2 linked regions of the Rattus norvegicus genome follow. The protein of the gene in region 2 purifies or fractionates together with the protein of the main gene of each other region. This does not show direct contact. Links are inferred from orthologs where the notes say so. Each region holds a gene or a part of one and is shown on either strand. Other genes may lie near its edges. The genes, in order: Fbxw11 and Cdc25b.

Region 1 (4,301 bases), on a different chromosome or scaffold from region 2:
CCTAGGATTGCTAGGGACAGAAGCAAAGTGTATACTATAATAAACAGGTGTAGTGTACTGGTATTCCACAACCAACACGAAGTCATTCTCAAAGTAGTATTTTAAAATATAACACAGTAGGGTATGTTGACTATAATTGAAACTGATCATAGTGAGAAACAGGTACCAACGATTTGGAAAAACTGTAGCTGCACACCTTATAAATGACTCAAGCAACGAGCCATACGCATAGACAGTAAATCAGATCCAGCAATGCAGGCCTCGGCACTACAATCTTTAGGGGGTTTGAGACTGACTTTTGGTTGGTTGTGGTTTTTTTGTTTGTTTGGTCTTTGTTTTGGTTGGTTTGGGGGATTTCATTTATTTGTTTAGGTTTTGAGAGACAGGGTTTCTCTGTGTAGTTCTGGTTGTCCTGGAACTCACTTTGTAGACCAGGCTGACTAACTCACAGAGATTCACCTGTCTCTGCTTCCTGAGAACTGGGATTAAAAGCATGTGCCACCATGCCTGGCACATTTTTTTATTACATTTCTAAGAATCCTACATTAAATCCCTTTTATGTCTTCATTAGGTGACATCTCTTCAATGTAAGGGCAAACAATATCACACAGTCTAACCCAGCCATGAGGATTTTATGGACACTAAGGAAGCATGTGCTCTACCACTAAGGTGCACCCCAGCACCTTAACAGTTACTCAAAACAAAACAGTTATAAGCTTAGAAAACCAGTAAGTGTGGGCCAGAATATTTCTTTAGTCATATGCTAAAAGACCATGCCTGAGGTTAATTACACTGTATTTCTTCTAACTCTCCTGAAAAAGAAGACATTTTGGTTGTTTTAAGTGAATATGTTTCATATGAAGCACTGGTCATTATGAAAGCAGATATACTGTTTTGTCTTTAAGAAGATGGAACATGTATCTTCATACATGAAGATACTTTGACACTTTGCCAAAAAAGAGGTCATCAGGATGGCTCAACCAAAGACACGTGATCATACATGCAGAACGAAATGAGTTCAAGTCCCAGAACCCAGGTAAAAGCAGAAGAGAATCTTTACAACATGGTCCTCTGACCTCCACAGGCCCACTGTGGTGCACGTGTGAATTCACATTAATACATAAGGCACGTTTTAAAGACATTTTGTCAAAATAACGGACTACTAAAGTTTCCCAAACTGTTACAACCGACAATTGGATGCTGAAAAAGAAAAAAGGTCCTCAGAACCTGAAGATAAAGTGACAGAATCCCTGTGAACACACACACACACACACACACACACACACACACACACACACCCCAGAAACTTCCAGGTTTGATTTTTCAACCATCCAGTTCTGCACATTGTGCTGAGTCCAGCAGACATGAGACTCTGTAGTTATGCTACTATTACTTCCATTTTAAACGTGTACCTTAGCTCCCTGGACAACATCATCCACAAAAACCATGGGCTATCCAACAGACTTTCAGTATCACCATTTATTATTTATAGCACTAAATGGGGGAAGTGGCTCTGATGTCACCAACCCTACCCAGTGGAATCACTGACTCAATAAGCATTTCACACTGGAGAAACTCTGACGAGGAAAACACATTGCTAAGTTCAGTAGATCGTTCACCTTTCCTCAGTACTGTGCGGCAGATACTAGTTGTTACGATATTAGTAGAGATACAAAGAAACTGTCAAGGTTTTCACAGGAAGAAGCCTTTCTTATGTCCCCAACTCTCCTGGGCCCAGTTTGATTTCCCTCACGTTCAAACTGGCAGGTACTACCAGCCATACTTTATTTCTTCCACCAATAAGCAAATCCTTCACTTTCCCAGCCATTCACTCACAGCCCTGTTTCCAAAAACCTTTCTAGCACCAAGTCTGAGGTCAGAAATGGGTTAGGGGTGTCCGGGAAGACCTGACCAACCTGGCTACCAAGGGTTTCTAACAGTAAAGGGATCGCTGCTTCTCGGTGGGTCAAGAACACCCCCACACACACACCGTCCCGCTTTTTATTATTAAAAGAAAAGAGGGTGGCAGTGATGAAGGCGACCTCTTCTCCCTCCCCTCTCATTTCCCAAATGATAAAGTTATGGTTTTCCTTTTCTGGGGGATGGAATTCTGAGTACCTAGGGCCCTGCTATACAAACATCCTTCACGGCAGGGTAGGAAACCCTTTGTCCAAGAAGCCTGACACCGCAGGGGCTCGGAAAAGAGGCCCCTTATCCCCTACAGCCTCAGACTCGTGGGCATGCCCAACATCCCAGTCCTGAAGGGCCTATCCTGGCATCCACACAGCGGTAGCTTGGGGTGAGGGTGCTGAGACCCACCGCCACCCCACCCCCTAAGCCTAGGTTACGGAGGCCGAAGCGGCTCCAACTGGTCTCGGACAACCTCCCACCACCATCACCCTCGGCTTGAGCGGGGCTGGGAAGCGCGATGCAGGCCTGGCAGAGGAATCCAGGGAAGGGAAAAAGAAATCCCCTTCTAAAAAGACAGTGTGATGGCAAGGCGAGAGTGAGCGGTGGCTCCGGCAGGAGCGAGGCAGGGGCGCCCGAGACTGGTCGGAGCCCGGCAAGGAGCGGGGAGGGGGTGGGGGAGTTCGCGGGGAGCGGAGGCCGGGCCGGCCCAAGAGCGCGAGGCGTCAGCAGCGAGCCGTAGCAGGGGGCCGGCCGGGCCCAGGCGACGGGGAACGAGGGCTGGCCTGGCGCGGACGCCGAGGTGGGCAGGCCCCCGGGCCGCCGGCCGGCCGGAAGAACTGAAGGCCAGCGGGCCGCACTCACCATGAGCTCGATGGTCTTGTCTTCAATCACCGAGTCGGGCTCCATGGCGGCCCCGGCGGCCCCGCCTCGCTCTCTCCGCTCAGCAGCGAACGGCCCGGGCGGAGGAGGCGGTGGCAGCGGCGGCGGCGGAGGCAGCTCTGGCACCCACTCTAGCTGCCAGCCCGCCCGGGCCGCCGGCAGCTCCGCCCTCCCCCTCGGCGGACGCAGGACGCACGGCGAAGACTACAACTCCCAACAACCGCGGCGGATCGCTAAGCCTTATGGGAACAAGAAGCCGTCGGGCCACTCTGCCAGGGTTCCGCCACGGGAGAGAGCACCTAGGGGAGGGCAGGGCTGGGAGTGCGGGGACATGCAGATCTGGAGTATCTAGGACTTGCTCGGGATAGGGCCTCGCGAGCGCCGCGACTACTTGTCCCAGAAATCCTCGCGCGCGCGGTCTCCTTCCGGTTGGTCGTTCCAGACTTCCTGGCAGCGGGTGGCTGCCCGGACCCGGACGGAAACTCCGAGGCAACTCCTCACTTGTCTGAGATCTTTGCGGTGCGACCGATTTCCGCACATGCGCAGTAGTTGTCTGCAGTGCCCACTGGTCGTCTAGGTGCTTGCGCGGCCGCCCGGTGTATTACACTTGGTAGGGACAGATGGTGGAGACAGGTGGGTCCGAGGTTGCACCAGGAGGTGTGGGAGGGGTCTGTGAGCCCGAAGATCCAACCAAGGGAAGATGGACATCTCAAGAGGAAAAGTTTGGAGGCTTGAGTTGGGAAACAGATGTATGGAGAGCTGCTACACTGGAAGTAGCTGAGCCATGAGAAAGAAGCTGATCATTTTGAAGACATTTTTAAGCATTCCGTTGCTACTAGTACTGCCCTAAGCTCTGGAAATGACAGGCGAGACCTCTGTTCTCGTGAAGCTTAATTCTAATGGGAAGACAGCAGACATTCACCAAGAGTTAGAAATGCTGTGAAGAAACACATCTAGAGACTTCCAGTGAACTCTTCCTCTTAACTCTGTGTGCCCTCCAAGTTGTCAGTACCCTCAAACCAAAAACCCCCAGGAATACGCTGTAGTTAAACAAGGTGGGTTTATTTTAGCTGAACTAGAAGAGAACATGCACCACGATGAATCATGGACGTCTCAGTAAGAGACATTAGGTAATGTAGAAAAGGATTTGAAGGGGCTCTGGAGCGCATACTGCCAGGAAGTGGGGGTAATAAGGTTGGACACCTTATCTATGGGAAGTTATATTAGATTGAAACTAATCCAGTAATTGATGACAGCCTCTTGTAGCCGTGTGTCAGGGGCTTAGACAATGTTCATGTTTTATCTGTGTTCACGAGTAATTATGGAGTGGTCTTGTTTTTGTCTTGATCCATAAGATAAGGCCGTTCTGTGGCCTTGTCTAATGTTAATGGTCTGTGAAGTTGTTTATGTTTTACTGGAGATCTGGCTGTAGAAACCAAGCTCTGGCTATTATCGTGTATCTCGAGGGCCTGGCTCATTGTACCCAACCCACTTCACAGTAGCAGTGACTT
Region 2 (3,809 bases):
GCATTGGGGGCCTTCCAGCATGACCTTTTCATATGTAGATTCTGAACCCAAAAGTTGCTTCTTCCTCCCTCCCCTATGACAATATTTCTTTAATATTTCCAAATGCTAAGTGTAAAGACTTTGTACACACACACACACACACACACACACACACACACACACACACACACTCCTGCCATAGGCCATCATGCTTACCAAAATACTTCACTCGATTTGTGTGCATACATGTGTACAAGGCACTGTGCATCCATGACCATCCAACAAAGGGCCTAGACTCTGTCACTAGTACAGCAACACGGAAAAACCATGCATACTCAGGACCAGATATGGAAAGAAGGACAGAGAGGGACAGGGAGGGACAGAGAAGGACCAAAAAGTGAAGCTCAGTGACTGGTTCATTGCCCAGCAACAAGTGCTGACCAGCGAGGCTCTAGGGTTCACAGCAGTGAGGATGGGGCTCCCAGAGGCTCCTGAATCAGGCCTTTGCTCTAGCTCTGGGGGTCTTAAAGGAAAAGATCCCTTTGTGGGCTAACAAAAGCCAAGCCTAATGAGTACATGATATTTGAATCTCTAGTCCCCAGCTGTACAAGGGAGCCTCCCCAGCTGTCAGTGTGTCCTGGGACACGCTAAGTGAGACAGACGAAAATGAAAGCTATGGGTAAGACGACAACAGGAAAAGTAAGCACTTATGCTTCCAATGGAGGAATCTGTGCAGAGGCCAGGAGAGGAGAGCAGACACAGCCCTGTGCAGCAGTGTAGCGTCCTGCATCCAGGCTACCCAAGAAGCTACTGTGCTCATCTTAAAGGGCTGAGGCTCTCCCTGCGAAGGGGTAAGACAAGGAGTCAACACAAACAAGGAAAAAGGAGATTGTAAAAGGGCTCTCATTGAACACAAAGGACTTCCTCTTAGCTGGTATTCACCCATTGGTTCAGCTCTTTAAGATGGGATCAGTACCAAGATACAGAAAATTAGTGGAGTGAGACAGGAAAATTGAGGACAGGGACAGACAGATGTGACACCACACCATCCCCCCAACCCCCTATAGCACCTGAGGCCTCTAGCAAGTAGGTGGCCGCATAGGCCCATGGGACCCACTGGCTCGCAAGCCTCCTGAGGTAAGGATGGTGGCAGGACTGAGGCTGGCTCGTCACTGGTCTTGCAGCCTGCTACAGAGTTCCCTCCTGCTCCGTTCCCCAGCCCAGCTGCGTGTCTTGAGGCGGAAGTTCCTCAGCTCATCCCGGAAAGCTGCATGGTTCATGGGTCGGTAGTCCTGGGGCTCACAAAAGTTCTAGGGGATGAGAAGATGAGAAGAGTCCATCAGTATGGGAGAAAGAGTAAGTTCTGGGGGCTGGGGGTGGGGGTATGGGTAGGGCCTATAGCCTAGTTGGGTCCTGTTCCTACAGTCCACGATGGGAGAGCTGTGACCATCCCACCCATGGTACCGGATGCTGCGGGAAGAACTCCTTGTAGCCGCCTTTGAGGATGTACATCTCAGGGTAGTACAGGCTGGGATAGTCGTTAGCTGCACGGTCCCGTTCCCTGATGAAGCGGCACCTGGAGTATCATGGGAGGTGGTTCAGGGCAGGTCGCATGCCGGAAAGAGACCATGCCCTGTACACACTGCATTAAGAGCCCCCACGTGCACAGACTTCTCAGCACAGGCATGTCACCTGCTAGGCAAGACTGGTTACTAGGTAGCAGACACTGGGTACAGCAACATAGAAAAACCACATATACTCCAGGGTCTCCTGGATCAGAGGTGGTAAGGACTCAAGGGAAGATGGGAAGGGAGGATCGGAAAGATCAAAAAAGTGAAGCTCCGTGACTGGTCCATTGCCCAGCAAGAATCATATGAGAAAACTGGAACCCTGTGCTAGAGGGGTGAAGTTCGTGTATAGGGAATGGGAAGGAGATTCTGGTCCGCTGAGACAGATGCTAACAGCTGCCAGGTGGAGCTGGTGGCCACCCTGGACCAGGAGGCAGAAGAATAACCATGAACACCGGGACAGAGGAAAGACGGCTGAAGGAAAGCAATGGACCCCAGTGGTCGTCAGCACAGTAGCAGGGTTCCAAGTGCTTGAGTGTCACAGTATCCTCAGATTTTAAGGATGCTACTGTACTTGGCACTACGTTTTGTGGGTATGCAGCAACGGACCGAAGACGGTCTGATGATGTGGGTGGAAGGAAGACAATGGTAAGATACGTCGTCTACAACAGGAGAGCTGAGGTCAGCTCTAAACTATCACATGCAGCAAGATGCTCTGGCACTCAGTACCAGGCAAAGAAAGCCGAGGGTGGGCCCCGGCTGGCCACTGACCACAAGGATGGGACAGAGCTAGGACTCACATCCGTGGTCCACGCTCAGATGAGAATTCACAGTGGAAAATGAGGATGATTCTCTTGTCCAGGTTACAAGGCGTGATGGGATGCTTCAGCAGAAAGGTCTCGGCATCCGGTTCCAGGGGCAAGTTCACAGCATTCTGTCAGAGGATCTGGGGGTCAAGCTGAAGCCTGCACCATGGCCCTTCTTGTTCAGTTCCCAGGTAAGTAACCCCACCTCTTGCTGAGCAGAAATCCTCCCCATAGGAAATTCACCATGGAAGGCTATTCATCTTCTCGGCAAGGAATCTGAATGGAGGGCCTGGCCTTACCAGCACCCGTCTCACCTTGATATGCCCGCCTTCATACTCATAGGGGTATCTGCAGTCCACAATTACAAACTTCTCCACGATGTTGCTGAACTTGCCTGTCAACAGGGCCACCATCTGTAGGAGGCCATCAGGGTTGGTGCCAGCAGGTGAGACTGTAGTCAAGGTTTTCCCTCTCTCTTCCGATAGTCTATACATGCAGCCCATCCCCAGAGGAAGACAAGAGCCAAGAGAAGGTGGTCCCCAATGCACCTGGAGAGTGGCTCAACCCTGCTTACAGTTTCTGGTGAGATGTACTTGAGGTCTTGGTGTTTGCCATCCACAGTCTGCAGGAGGAAGGCCTGAAGGGAGGGATGAGGCAGAGTCAGGGAAACACATTGAGACACAGAGACTGGAAGGACAGAGGCAACACCGGCCTCAGCCTTCAGATTCAGCTGAGTGAAACCTCTGGGGGCCTGCACCCAGGGAACAACCTTCTGAGGGTAAAAGAGGAAGGAAAAGCCCTAGACCTTCTTGCTTCCTGCTCTTGGGTTTGAAAGCCGAAGGCTGAGGCAGGAGATTGCATACCAGAGATTGATTTGGAAATGTTTTTCGAGGATGAGATGCCTGGACAGATTTGAGGTGGCATCGGAAGGGGACCCAGAGGGAAGAGTCTGCATGAGAACAAGAATGAAAAGACACAGAGGGAAGGGGGGACCTCTGGGGACAGATGGGTCCTGCATTAGGGCTCCAGAGCGGGTGAAAGAAGCCTCCTGAAGCCCTAGAATGCTACCTTAGAGTAATCTCCAATCAGGCCACGGTGGTCACTGTCCAGGATGCTCTCAATCTCGTGACACAGGGACTTTGAGCGGAAGACCCGGGCCTTCTGGAAAGTAAGGCAGACGGAGGCCAGGGTGAGGGAAGAGACTGCCTCTCAGTGCTGTTTGGTTGAGACCTCCTTCCCCTGCCACCTAAACAACCAGCTGCACACTACCCACTGCTGCACCTTTGCCCAGGAGAGGACACCCAGAGCATCTGCAGCCCAAACACACCCCAGGTGAGCAGCCCAGCCCCCCAGAGGGCGGAACTAACGGGTTCTTCAAGCTGCTGCTCTTCCAGGGGTGTCCCACTCTTCCTGCGCTTGCTCAGGACAGGCACGTCCCTGTCGTGGGGCCGCTCTA

The links.
Region 1: the proteins of Cdc25b (region 2) and Fbxw11 purify together in Homo sapiens (affinity purification with mass spectrometry; 14 studies listed by BioGRID and IntAct, counting the BioPlex papers as one, with this or other methods). This does not show direct contact. The link is inferred for Rattus norvegicus from reciprocal best matches to the Homo sapiens genes CDC25B and FBXW11.

Annotation. Positions count from the first base shown.
Region 1 is NC_086028.1:17,735,857-17,740,157, reverse strand, and holds the start of Fbxw11 (F-box/WD repeat-containing protein 11), read right to left. Parts: upstream 2,962-4,301; 5' UTR 2,818-2,961; coding exon 2,773-2,817; intron 1-2,772.
Region 2 is NC_086021.1:138,866,433-138,870,241, reverse strand, and holds part of Cdc25b (M-phase inducer phosphatase 2), read right to left. Parts: coding exon 3,721-3,809; intron 3,515-3,720; coding exon 3,422-3,514; intron 2,991-3,421; coding exon 2,928-2,990; intron 2,767-2,927; coding exon 2,668-2,766; intron 2,482-2,667; coding exon 2,348-2,481; intron 1,556-2,347; coding exon 1,444-1,555; intron 1,290-1,443; coding exon 1,149-1,289; 3' UTR 1-1,148. UniProt on the Homo sapiens protein: Tyrosine protein phosphatase which functions as a dosage-dependent inducer of mitotic progression. Directly dephosphorylates CDK1 and stimulates its kinase activity.